Linked DNA regions of Solanum lycopersicum. The protein of the gene in region 1 binds, or shares a complex with, the protein of each later gene. Links are inferred from orthologs where the notes say so. Each region holds a gene or a part of one and is shown on either strand. Other genes may lie near its edges.

What was found. Proteins that work in one complex are often made in the same cells at the same time.
Region 2: WPP domain-interacting tail-anchored protein 1 (region 1) and RAN GTPase-activating protein 1 share a complex: the UniProt entries of both Arabidopsis thaliana proteins name them as parts of the ran complex. The link is inferred for Solanum lycopersicum from reciprocal best matches to the Arabidopsis thaliana genes WIT1 and RANGAP1.
Region 3: WPP domain-interacting tail-anchored protein 1 (region 1) and RAN GTPase-activating protein 2 share a complex: the UniProt entries of both Arabidopsis thaliana proteins name them as parts of the ran complex. The link is inferred for Solanum lycopersicum from reciprocal best matches to the Arabidopsis thaliana genes WIT1 and RANGAP2.

What each region holds. Positions count from the first base shown.
Region 1 is NC_090801.1:52,973,153-52,977,321, forward strand, and holds the start of WPP domain-interacting tail-anchored protein 1, read right to left. Parts: upstream 2,801-4,169; 5' UTR 2,663-2,800; intron 894-2,662; 5' UTR 873-893; coding exon 305-872; intron 1-304. UniProt on the Arabidopsis thaliana protein: Together with WIT2, required for the nuclear envelope docking of RANGAP proteins in root tips.
Region 2 is NC_090808.1:59,911,046-59,915,119, reverse strand, and holds the start of RAN GTPase-activating protein 1, read left to right. Parts: upstream 1-1,274; 5' UTR 1,275-1,559; intron 1,560-4,074. UniProt on the Arabidopsis thaliana protein: GTPase activator for the nuclear Ras-related regulatory protein Ran, converting it to the putatively inactive GDP-bound state. Plays a role in spatial signaling during cell division.
Region 3 is NC_090800.1:74,925,740-74,929,841, reverse strand, and holds the start of RAN GTPase-activating protein 2, read right to left. Parts: upstream 2,801-4,102; 5' UTR 2,706-2,800; exon of another isoform or gene 2,657-2,705; intron 1,784-2,656; 5' UTR 1,773-1,783; coding exon 120-1,772; 3' UTR 1-119. UniProt on the Arabidopsis thaliana protein: GTPase activator for the nuclear Ras-related regulatory protein Ran, converting it to the putatively inactive GDP-bound state.

The DNA of each region.
Region 1 (4,169 bases):
AATAATGATAATAATGACGGCAAATATGATAATAAACGTGCTCCCATGATGCATGAATATCTAAGTAGAATCTTAGTTCGACTGATCTATTCACTTTGCATTGGTTCCGCCGAAGCCCATCTTTGATTGCTTTGGAATGGACTGACCACACTGGATTTTGAGCAGCATAACCCAAGATTTCTTTAACTGAAGCTCCAAAAGCTATTCAGCATTACGCAGGATGTAAAGAATTTTTTTTAATGATAGCAGGATGCTGTAAAGAAACCATCCCTTCAAAATTAACATAAAATAAAAATAAACTCACAATCTCGGTCCCCCTGGGAGGTGAGCATAATTCCATGGAAGTTGGTACATTGCGCCCTCAATTCCAATAGGTGGTCCTGCAACTGCTTGAGGGATTTCTCACTGTCGTATAACTTCTCTTCTATCAAAATGAAAGCCTCATCCGCATAGCCACGTGAAGATATGACCTTCCGCACATTGTCAATCTCCGTTGCAACAGAAGATAATAAACCGCTTAGCTCTGTCACCTCTGAATCCAGGACCCCAGATAAGAGATCAAACTCTATTGCCTTCTCAACAATGTCATTTGAAGTGCCCTCCTTCTCAGAGGCAAAAGCCTCAAAGTCACTTTCTCTTGTTTCCACATGCATCACAAATAAATCCAAATTAACTAGTTTCTCAGAGATACACGCCAAGTCTAGTTCAAGCCTTGTTAAAATCTCCCCGATTCTTCCTACTTCATGCATGACATTACCACCACTGGATGACAAAACTTCTAGAGAGTCTACTGTATTTGATTCTACCTCCACTTCATTGGTGTTAACACCTTCAGTGGAAGTAGTTGCACCATTCGCTGTGTCAGCATTCATTAGTCTAACCCGTTTTTTAACCTGAAAATAAACCAATACCAATATTTTTAAGGAAAAAAAATGTGAAGGTGCAGGAATCTCAGAGGTAAAAGGTAGTAAGTGAAACACACGCTTCTTTGAAGTAAGTGCACAGTTTATCGAAAATAAAGAAATACTAAAAGTAAAAACAGATGGTTTTAGTACATACAACAATCAAATCGCAATTATTATTACTGATATCAGCATCCAATATACAGTAATGATGATATTAATCCAACTCCTCAGAAAAATCATTCAAATATAATTCTACAAGCCCATCAAAAGATAACTCCAATCGTTAAACAAATTCTCATTTACAATTAATCAACCATTAAGTAAATTAATTTGCAGAATGCAATGTCATATTTGGTTACTTTAGTAATTGTACTATGATAATAGAGGAGATAGGCAAAAGAGAGCCCAGAATTAAAAGATATCAGAGATAAAGGACTTGCATACTAGAAGAAAAAGAGTCATTTATTTGAAGAAAATGAAGAAGAAAGAACAGAAACCAAAGAACTATAAGAGCATAAGTAATGGATAGATAGACATTACTAACAAATGACAAACAAGATGGATAGGCCTTACAAACTCGAGAAGAAGAAAAAAAGAGCACAATAACAATAACGAGAACGTGGAAACATACATGGATCTGAACCCTACTATTCAAATAGCAAATCTCAATTTTCCTCTTCTATTTTCTCATATTTTAAAGTAAGATTCAAAGAATTGACTACTTCTCATTGGGATTTCCAGTCTCACTCGTCAGAAGTGCATAAAGTGATACACCTAGTTCGCATCACTTCATGGCTTTAAGGGACGAGCCGTGACACATTATAACACAGATGAACACGCAATAAATAAATCTCTGGTAAACATATCCTCTTTGAAACCGGAAGAACCGAAAGAAACTATAAGGTTTAAAGGATATGAGAGTACAGATGCTTCCCACGACAGTTACAGCTAAAAAGTGATTGTTCACATATACTAAAAGCTCCATGGAGGTAAAACTATATTGCTTCTGAGATCAGCTTTCATAAGTTATGTAGATTGGGTATGGGAGTCGAAAGCAATTCTTACCCATAAAAGTTATATAACAAGTCATGAATGTGCAGCTAGTATAGATAAAAAATTAACAGCAAATGTGCGACTTCAATAACTATCTAAGGGAAAGAGATAAGAAGATACAACAACACAACATATGGGAAACCATTTCTTCTTGTGCATTACCTTTGATTCTTGGAAATGTGTTTGAAGATATTTTCCACCAATTCAGTCCTTCCTTGACAAATATCTCAAATCATACTCCATAATACTCAAAATTATCACCAATACACTATCCTCACATCCACCAAATATTAGTTACTTTTATACCCAGCTATAAACAGTGGAAACTAAAGACTTCTCATCCATTACAGTACTATTAACACACCCAACTACAACAATTAATTCAAATAAACCGTAAAATCAATCATTCCAAGAAAAGAAAAGGAAACCATTTCCACTCAAGATTCGCATCATTTGAGAAAACCCCTGATCCAAATCAGAAAAATTTAACTCCCAAACACTTAAAAGATGAAACTTTTCAACACCCATCTCAATAATTAGTAAAACAAATCAAACACAACGAAGAAATGATCAATTTTAACGATTAAAAAAACTACAGGATCAAGAAACTATAAGGAATTTGTCTACTTACTCAACAATTATCAGCTATTAGATGAATATCAGATTTACTAAGCAAAGATTAGAGAAGTTCATCAGTCACATACCTTCCTTGCCGTAAATTCGCGAGTTCTACAGAGTGATTAGTCTCAAAATTGATTTATTTTTTTGATTCACTTGAAATTCTGTTTATTTTTGTATTATTTTTTTATCATCTTCTATGCACGTGATGGTCACATGATAGGGCACGTGTTCTCTTGTCAGCTTTACCGAAAAGGTTTTAACTGGGCCGTCTATAAAGGAACTGATATATCGGCCCATTGAGTGCCTCGTCTGCTATTAAACCCGGCCCATGAAAAACCCCGGGGAATTTTATAAGAGGAAATTTCAAAAACAACTAAAGACTAACAACAAAATCGGGGTTTTTTTAGCTATAGTTTGCTTGATTATGATTCGTGGATGCATTTTATAGAGAGAATAGGGACAAGTGAGATTGGGAGAAGGAAGAAAGTGGTGAGCGAGATGTGGGAAGGAGGCACAATCAATTTGTATATCCGATTAATAATTGTATCATGTATACAATTGACATAATTAATCTGTACCAAAACTAGTTGCTAGAAGGAGGAGAGAGGTGAGCAAGATTTGGATAGGGGGAGAGAGACAAGCGAAAGAGGAGAGAGAGGTGAATTGTATTTATATACCTGTTGTGATAATTGTACATGTGTAACTAGTACGTATATTTATCAGTGAATACAATTGTATCAGTGAATACTAATTGTATCAATGTTGCATCTAGTTCAAGTGTAATACATTTGTATCAATATTGTATTTCACGACAAATTGCATATGTATTGTACAGATTTGTTGTCATGTGTGTTTGTATCTTGTATCACTGAAAGAGGACATTCATTAATTTGTTGATATGTATATTTGTATTTGTTGCCTTATGTATACTTGTACTAGTATGTTGTCATGTATATATAAATGAAAACTTTATTTATTGCTGTCTTAACTATTGCTGCATAACAATACTGGCAGATATTGCTGCATAACAATACTGGCAGATACATCAAATGGATGTATTCAATGCATTTCTTCAGGGAGACGAAATCTACATGAAGCTACCTCAAGGATTTGAGGGTCTCCTTCTATGGATTGAAACAAGCTACCAGACAGTGGAATGCAAAATTGTCTGAGGCATTACTAAGGTTTCTGTTCAAGCAAAGTGAACACGATCATTCCTTTTTCATCAAGCAAACATCAACAGGGTCAGTGTTTGTTCTTATATATGTTGATGATATGTTAATTACAGGAAGTAGTGTTCAGCTTATTGAAGAAACTAAAGACAAATTGAACCAGACCTTCAAAATGAAGGATCTAGGTGAACTCAAGTTCTTCTTAGGGATTGGGTTTGAAAGGTCAAGTAAAGGCATACTGATGCATCAGAGAAAATATGCATTAGAACTTATTGCTGAAACTGGATTGGGAAATGCAAAACTTGCACTAACTCCTATTGACAACAACAACAAGCTAACTTCAAAGCAATATGATGAATACAGGAGCATAGCTACATATGACGTCCCGCCATCCATTCAGGATGAACGCCACCCAACT
Region 2 (4,074 bases), on another chromosome or scaffold:
TAGTAGAATCGCAGGAGACAAAAAACTATCAATTTTTTCAAGAGCTACCAAGCATTACAAGGAAATATCTAAATATAGAAAAGGCGCATACACCAACTAGAAGGTGAAAACACACAAAATGAACATTCAATGGAAGCAGTGCAGGAACATAAAGGAAATAACATAAATAAACATCACGGAGATAGTCACGTAAACAGAATGCATATTTAAAAAACATCAGACACAAGAGGAAGCATAAAGCACAAATATTTCAAGATGAAGTATGCTTCTTAGAGGGAAGTAAAATTGAGCAAAACAAAGCTACAAATAGAGTTTCTAGCTATAAAAGAAACTTTAATATAAAGGGGGCTTGTTGGTCAAATTATTTGAGTTGGGAGTTAATGACACCAGGAATAAACGGAACATCAAGCGCACAATCGGAGTCAAATATGAGCAAAAACGAAGCCCACCTATGATCCCTTGGGACTACACCTCGATCTGAAAGGGAACGAGAATCAGTAGCTCATACACGAAAGAAAAAGAAGGATATAAGGACGAAAATCTTACATGTAAGCAAGGAGGGCGGTAGAACTTCAAAGGCATTCAAGGAGCTAGATGGAATGATACCACGTCAAAAATCACAAAGATTACTTGGTCAACCATGAAGGAGACAACTTAGAAACGGCGGAGAAAGGATGGAAATGGGGTAGGGTTTTAAGAAAGTCAAGTGAAAGGATAGTTGATGGAAGAGTTTTGGAAACTCTACATATTATTTCCTTTTGGACCCGGGTACTACTTTTTGGGCCAAGTCATTTGTTGTTTCATGTACTAATCGGGCATTAGCCTACACTAATAAGATGATCTTCTATCAAAAAATTAATTTTAAAAAACATTTTAGTGAATTATGATTATACAAAGTAATAAAAAATCTTAATCGAACATACCAAGAGGTTGCTAAGATATCGGAGATAACAATATTAGATTAAACCATCATAAGAATCAATAATAGATTCAAATACAAACATCTACTGCAATTTAAAATAATTCCCCAAAATATCAATAGGTAATGATGACCTTTTGTGGATATTTTCAGATTAATAAAAGAGATCATAAAACTCTAGATGAGGAATTCAACGGCTCAGGGGGAAAGAGAACCATGAATAGAAAAATCCCAAGTTGAACGATTGTTATAGAGTTTGAGAGCGAGAAAACAATTAAACAGATGAATATTTTTAAATATTAAAAAGAAATAGAATAGAAATGAGATTTAACGAGTGTAGTATAAAAAACTTTACACTATAGTGCACACAAGTTAATTCTCCTATTTCAAATAGTTAAAAGAATAATTTTGGCCCTTTTTGTGGCTTAAAAAAAGGGGCATTTTCCCTCCAAATCGAATTCCTCAAAAATTCACGACAGCAGCACACGACTATCATGATTGCACATAACTTGTATTTGAATTAGTTTTAATTATCTCTTTATCTTTACTCCAACTCCACGTCTCTCTCCCCTCTCTTTTCTAGGGTTTTTTGGATCTCTCTCTTATCCCACTTCGCCACTTCTAGGGTTTCTTCCAACCAGTAAGTTTCCTCTTACTCCTCTCTGTTTACATTCATTCATGAAGATTTTAGGTCTGATTTTGTTTTGTATTGTTCCATTTGTCTATTCCTTCAATTATGGTTGCATTTCCTTCTTTTTTTTCATCATTTGAATGATATTTTCTGCTTCGTTTTAACGAATACTGAGACTCACTTTTAAGTATTTGAATTAGAATATAGTTTATGTTTCAGTGTAGATTTTGATGGAGTTCAATGAGTTATGCCTCAAATCTTAGAATAGTTGATGTAGACAATGTGAATCATTTGTATCTGTTCTGCTCTATGTGTGCCAGTTTTTAGTTTTGTTTAGTATATTTAGAAATGGACATTGAAGGGAAATGCATTTTTTAATGATGGCCTTAAGGATGAAGGTGTTTGGTTGGATTTTGTTTGTACTAAAATGGAAGAAATGTGATATAGTGGGATTTGTGAACTCTTATTCATGGCTCTGCTGGTTACACTTATTCCTTAAGACCTTCAGTGGCAAGTATTATTGTTTTTGTTTTTCTGTAGTACTCTGTAGAAAACTTGAGAAGTCCCAGTGATTTGAAAGAGGCATGCTTAGTTCTTGATGGCTCCTTCTATCTAACAACGCCGGACAAATGAAATAGTACAAAATTTGTTTTGATTCCGTGATCGATCAATCTTCGTCTTCAAGAGGAAGGGAGTGAGGGAGAAGCAAAAGATGGAGTCTTTAGTCCTGTGGCTATCTGAAAATTTTCCCATTAATCAACACAAAATGCCAATAAATCTATTTCTTATTTTCTCTTGAATTCTATTTGAATTATTGCTTGATGCAAGGGAAAAACCAAATGCTATAAACTCAAAAACTTTGAGATATGAACTCAAAAACTTGCTCGAACCTTGACTAATTCCATGTGGTACCTTCTACCTTCACCAACACAATTACCAGTTAACTCTGTCAACCAAGGCTTAAACAAATAAGAAGAAATCACCTAGTGTTTTTGCTGCTGATGGAAAATGAACTCATGATCTCATGGTTCTCAACCCCTTTCCTTGACCACTGGGACACACCCTTGGGTGCCTCAAGCATAATGAGTTTTTGTGTGATATTTGCTCACAAACTTTAGAAATTACTTTGGGAAGTAAAAGAATAGTCATCTTGAATCATGGATAGTAGCTTATCATAAAAGTGCATTTTCTTTTTATTTGGAGATGAGATGGCAGCAAAAATGGAATAGTTCACCACCTTTTGTGAGCCTTTTGGCCCTCTACAAAAGGGAAACAATAATACTTCAATAGATTAATCGAGCTCTTAGCCTTCTAATGGTAAGTGCTTAGATTTGCTCAACTGACAAGATATAACGGTTAAAAGTCTGAAGTCAACTTCCTTTTTTGGATCAAATATATGATTTATCATTTAGTTAAATACATTGTATTTGGTGCACAGGGGAGATGTTTCGTTTGAGGAAGATATTACCTTATTGCACCAGTGTGATGCTTGTATGTAATTTTAACTCTTGTGTCTGTGTTTTGCAACTTATGACCATGACCTGAATGTCAATATGCACGATCCTTACTGTTATCATATGACTAATATCATTTTAGAAGTCTTGCATTTATTGGTCATTCTGCTAGTGCAGTGAGATAAAATAAATCTGCTGATCAAGTGACTGCAAACAAGATGCCATCTGTACTTATTTTATGTGCATTGCAGCACCTCAGCTGAAAAGCTTGGAAGGTGCTGAGAAAAGACAAGAAATTGGAACAATTTAATATTAACTGACGTCAAATGTCAGAACTCAGAACTGTTTGTTGCTACTTGCTTGTTGTGGGACAACTCATGTTTATTATCCTGAGGATATATACTTGTAAGAAACATTATTCAAATGATAGACTATGGAAGAAATCTTCCTTTTTCTTTGAAACTCAAAAGTAACAGTGCTGTGTGGAAAATAGCGAAGCTTGTTGCTGATAATGCTTGGTGGTTAATTGTTAGTCTTGTTTCCCATAGTACTTTCTTGTGGAAAGTACCACTAGGCAGGTGCGGATCCACATAGAGCTTCGGTGCTCGAGCACCCATGGACCCCTACGTGAAATGTATATAGGTATATAAAAAATACTATGCAACCTATATAATTAATTAGTAAGCACCCGTTAAATAACTGTTGGATGTGACTCGTTGGTTAGTAAGTGGGTGCTGAAGCTGTGGTACCGCAGGTCACGAGATTGATCCTCCACAAGTAATTTTTATATACTTATTAAGCTGTCTAATTTTCTATGTTTAGCATAAGATATTCACGAGTGTAAGAGATGTTATTATTACTCATTTTAATTTTAAAATGCGAAAAGTCGTCGAGTACATTATAATTTGACTCAGTCTTCTTTCCCGATAGTAATATTAAACATGACTTTTGCGTTAATGTTTTTCACTATTGTGTTTAAATAGTATTTGCACTTGTACTAAATGAACAGTAAAATTTAATGTTAAAAAAAGTGAAGCACCTACTAACTTCAGATCCTTGATCCGCCACTG
Region 3 (4,102 bases), on another chromosome or scaffold:
TACTGATGGAACTATATGTTAGAAGCACTTGCTGGAGGAACATAATATGGCCAGCTTAGCATAAAGAAAATGGTAAAACTAAAACTGCCACATGCAGAAAAATCGTCAAGTACTGGATTCTAATTGCTATCTGGTGCGTGTGCGTCAACACTTGCCTCTTGCTTGACGTCCAGGTTTTTCAGTTTTGATTCTAGTTCATCCTCAACGTCCTCATCTCCAGATTCTTTCTCCTCGTCACCCTCGTCTTCTCCTTCCGGGTCATTATCTTCCAGGGATGCAAGCATTTCAGGAGATTTCTTGAAGATCTCTTTCAACTCGTCAACGCCTTCTTCTGAGATGAAATTCCCATTAACATTTAGTAATTTAAACTCATCTTTCTGCAGCACAGTTTGAGCCAGCACCCTAGCCCCAGCCCTCCTTAGTGCATTGCTGCTCATATCAACTTCAGTCAGATGTTTGTGTCCTTCCAATGCCTTGGCAATCTGAATTACACCTTCATCCTTGAGTTCATTCTCACCCAAGCTTAACTTGGCAAGAAGCTGCTTTGCAGCTATACAAGAAGCTATTGCTGAAGCAGCTTCAGCAGTTATATCATTACCTGCCATCTCCAAGACAGCAAGTGAAGGGGCTGAATCTTTAAGAGCGTTAGCTATTGCAATTGCTCCTTCATCCTCTAAATTAAGGTAGCTCAGGTAAATTTCCTTAAGATTTTCATGTTGGCTGAGTGCCTTGCTCAACACAAGACCAACTTCTGGACCAAACATATTGTCTCGCAAATCAAGCTTCTTCAAATGGGAGCACATCCCAAGTGCTTCGCACAAGGCACTCCCTCCTTCAGAACCTACCCTGGTAGAAGAGCACCTGAAATCTTCCAATAAAGGAGAGCGCTTCACAATTTCCGCAATCGCAACAGCCCCTTCATCACCAGTCATATTATTATGAAAATGAAGAATTTTAAGCTTCTCGGTGGAAGGAACTAGCTCGCTAACAGCATTTGCAGCTTCCTGTGAAATCCCATCATTCATCAAAAATAATTCTTCCAAGTTGGTTTGAGACTGAAGGAGCTTTCCAAATGCCCTAACTCCCTTCTCACCAAGAGCATTATCAGAGAGATTCAGAAACTTCAAGTTAGAACCTTCTAGAGCTTCTGAGAATATATTCATGACATCAAGTGCTTCAGCCTCATTTCTTCCGGCAACAAAATCTGACAAATCAACTTCCTTCAACTGATCCTTCAAGGTTGCCAAGATAGGGCCTGCAATACGTGCTGCATCTATACCAAAGCTTCTATTGCTGAAACAAATTTTGCTGTAAGAGTTTCCAGGCTCTTTTAATGGCTTTAAAAGTTCTTGAGCCTCTTCCGCTTCAATAAAAGCCCTTTTACCTTTTGAGATATCAAAAAAGGTCTCCTGAACAGTAGGAACTACCTCAGAAATCGAAATTTCCTTGTCCTCTGATTTGGGAGTCTTTTTTAGAATTTCCAGGATAAGCTTGCTACATTCCCTGGCATAAAGTTGCACAGCAGAACTTCCATCACCATCAGGCTCCTTCTCATAATGTTGATTAGCAATGGTAAAAGCTGCATCTTCAATTTCTTCAGCATTTTTGGCAGCCTCTTCCTTGGATAGACTGCGGTACTTGCGGGTGAAAATGGTTGGACTAGAAAGATTATTCGTCATTCTTTCCACCAGCATTTTTCTTGTGTTCTCACTTGGAGGCCACAGTTTAATTGAAAACGGTCTGCGCTGAGAGTTATCTGTTGTGGCATCCATTGGCAGAAAACCTAGAGTGAAAGGAATATAGTGAATCGTGTCTTTAGTTTCTATAGAAAAATAAAGTGATTATCTTTCAAGAAATATAACCACTATAAGATTAAGCTCTGGCAGTTAAAAACATAACAACCAAAAAACAAAGTACCAGGCAAGAAACAATTCGTGCACACCTACAAGAAAAACTTAACATAAAGCGAATCAAATTTCAAGAGCTCAAATTCTTCGTCATAGAAATCAGATATAATTGTTTGACAACTCAATATTTTCGCCACAAAACACCAAGCAGGTGTCTAAAAGAACGGGAAAGTTTCTACAGTCATCCATCATCAAAAACGAGATTGAATTTTCTCTCATTTTATAACCACCTTGCAATGCACCATATTCATATCCAACAATGTAAAAAAAAACTCAAAAACCAAAAATGGTACATTCCCAGGTATATTCACATTTCACACTATAACACAAAAAAACTTTCTAGGATACAAAAAAAAATACCACACATTACCAAGGAATCATATGAGCAGAACAGAGCAACATATATACAATTTACAGAGCCGCTAAAAACACCAGAAACTTGTAATACAAAACAAAAATCCTTCTTTTTCCCCTACAAACAAAGAAATTTCACGAGAAAAATAAAAACTTTATACCTAACAGTGGGGGTTTGTAGAGTGTAGTCCTCCTCCCAGTAATTGCAACCTCTACTCTACCAACCCCAAAATAATAAACATAAAAAAACTACATAAAAGCAAAAACTAAAGCACATTAAACAAGAAAAAATACTAAAATCCAGCACAGATCTGTGAAATCACATGACCAAAAAAGTTGACTCATACAGAGCATAACCGCGAAAACCCTAAAAATCAAGAGAAAAAGAAAATTACTTTTGGGGATTTTTCTAATTACCGTTGGAGTGAGTGTGTTGTAACTCACCGGCAAACAACGAGAGAGAATGTGTGAGTTCGACGCGCCGCCGGAGAGAGTGGAAGTGAAGAAAATCTCAACTGAAAATGAAGTTAGCAATGTGTGCTGTGTGTTGTGTGGGAACAGTGTTTTTATATTCGACTATCTTGTACTCGAGAGATAACCTAATGTAAAAAAAATATATATATATTTTGAATAATAACTTTTTTTCTTAGTTTAAAATAAACAAATCATTCAAAATCAAAGAATTGTTGGATTTCTTTTTCAAAATATTTTTTATTTAATGAGAATAATTATTACAAAATTAAGCTCATAACAATATAGTTATAAATTGAAAATGGCAAGACATGAAGATAAAGGAGATAATTCTTTTTCTATTACGGTGTATTTTATAAGTATGAAATATTTATATTTATAGATTCAAAAAATCACTCATAAAATAATCTATATGTATAACAGGAAAGGTGATAGTGCTTTCGCGTAAGCGCCACAAAAAATAATATTTTTTTAAAAATAAAAGTTATAAATTGTATTTGAAAAAACTCGTGTATTGATAGTTAGTCATAATTATCAATCCATCAATATATATATATATATATATATATATATAGGTGATAGCGCGCCAAAAAAATAATATTTTTTTAAAATAAAAATTATAACATTGTTTTGAAAAAAAATAAGACATGTTTATTGGTAGTTAGTCGAGGGCTTTTAATCTTTATTTTGAAAAAAATAATTGTAATTTTACTTTTTAAAAATATTATTTTTATAGTACCTACGTGTCAACGCTACAAAAAATAAAATTACAAAATTGTATTTGAAAAAAAAAAACACGTATATTATTAGTTAGTCATATGGGGTTTAATTTTTATTTTGAAAAAAATAATGGTTATCCAACTAAAAAGTTTCAAAACTTCCTACTACACTTCTATTTCTACACAAATTGAAATTTTCTAAAATTAAAGTGCTACTCTTTTAACTTTTTCGTGTTTATATTGTCGAATTTAAAAGTGAGAATATAACAAATTTTGTTCACTATATTAATTTATATCTCTTATTATTATTAGATTTTTATCTATCATAAACATAGAAAGCAATAAATTATGTTCATCATAATATTACTTTAAACAATATCATAATTTTAAGCCATTTAGGCTTTAGCAAATTTAAACTATTCACGAGATTATATGATGTTAGTGAGCAATTTAATATGTTAAATATTAATATTAAAATGCTAATAAACTAACATCTAACAAGATTAAATTAAGTTAAAATTTGCAATATAACTATAATTACACGTAATACAATAACGTCTCATTTTCATGATTTCATCTATATATTTTCTTATACAATTAAAATTTAATATGTCCAACACATACATTGAGTAAATTTAATATAACGGTTGT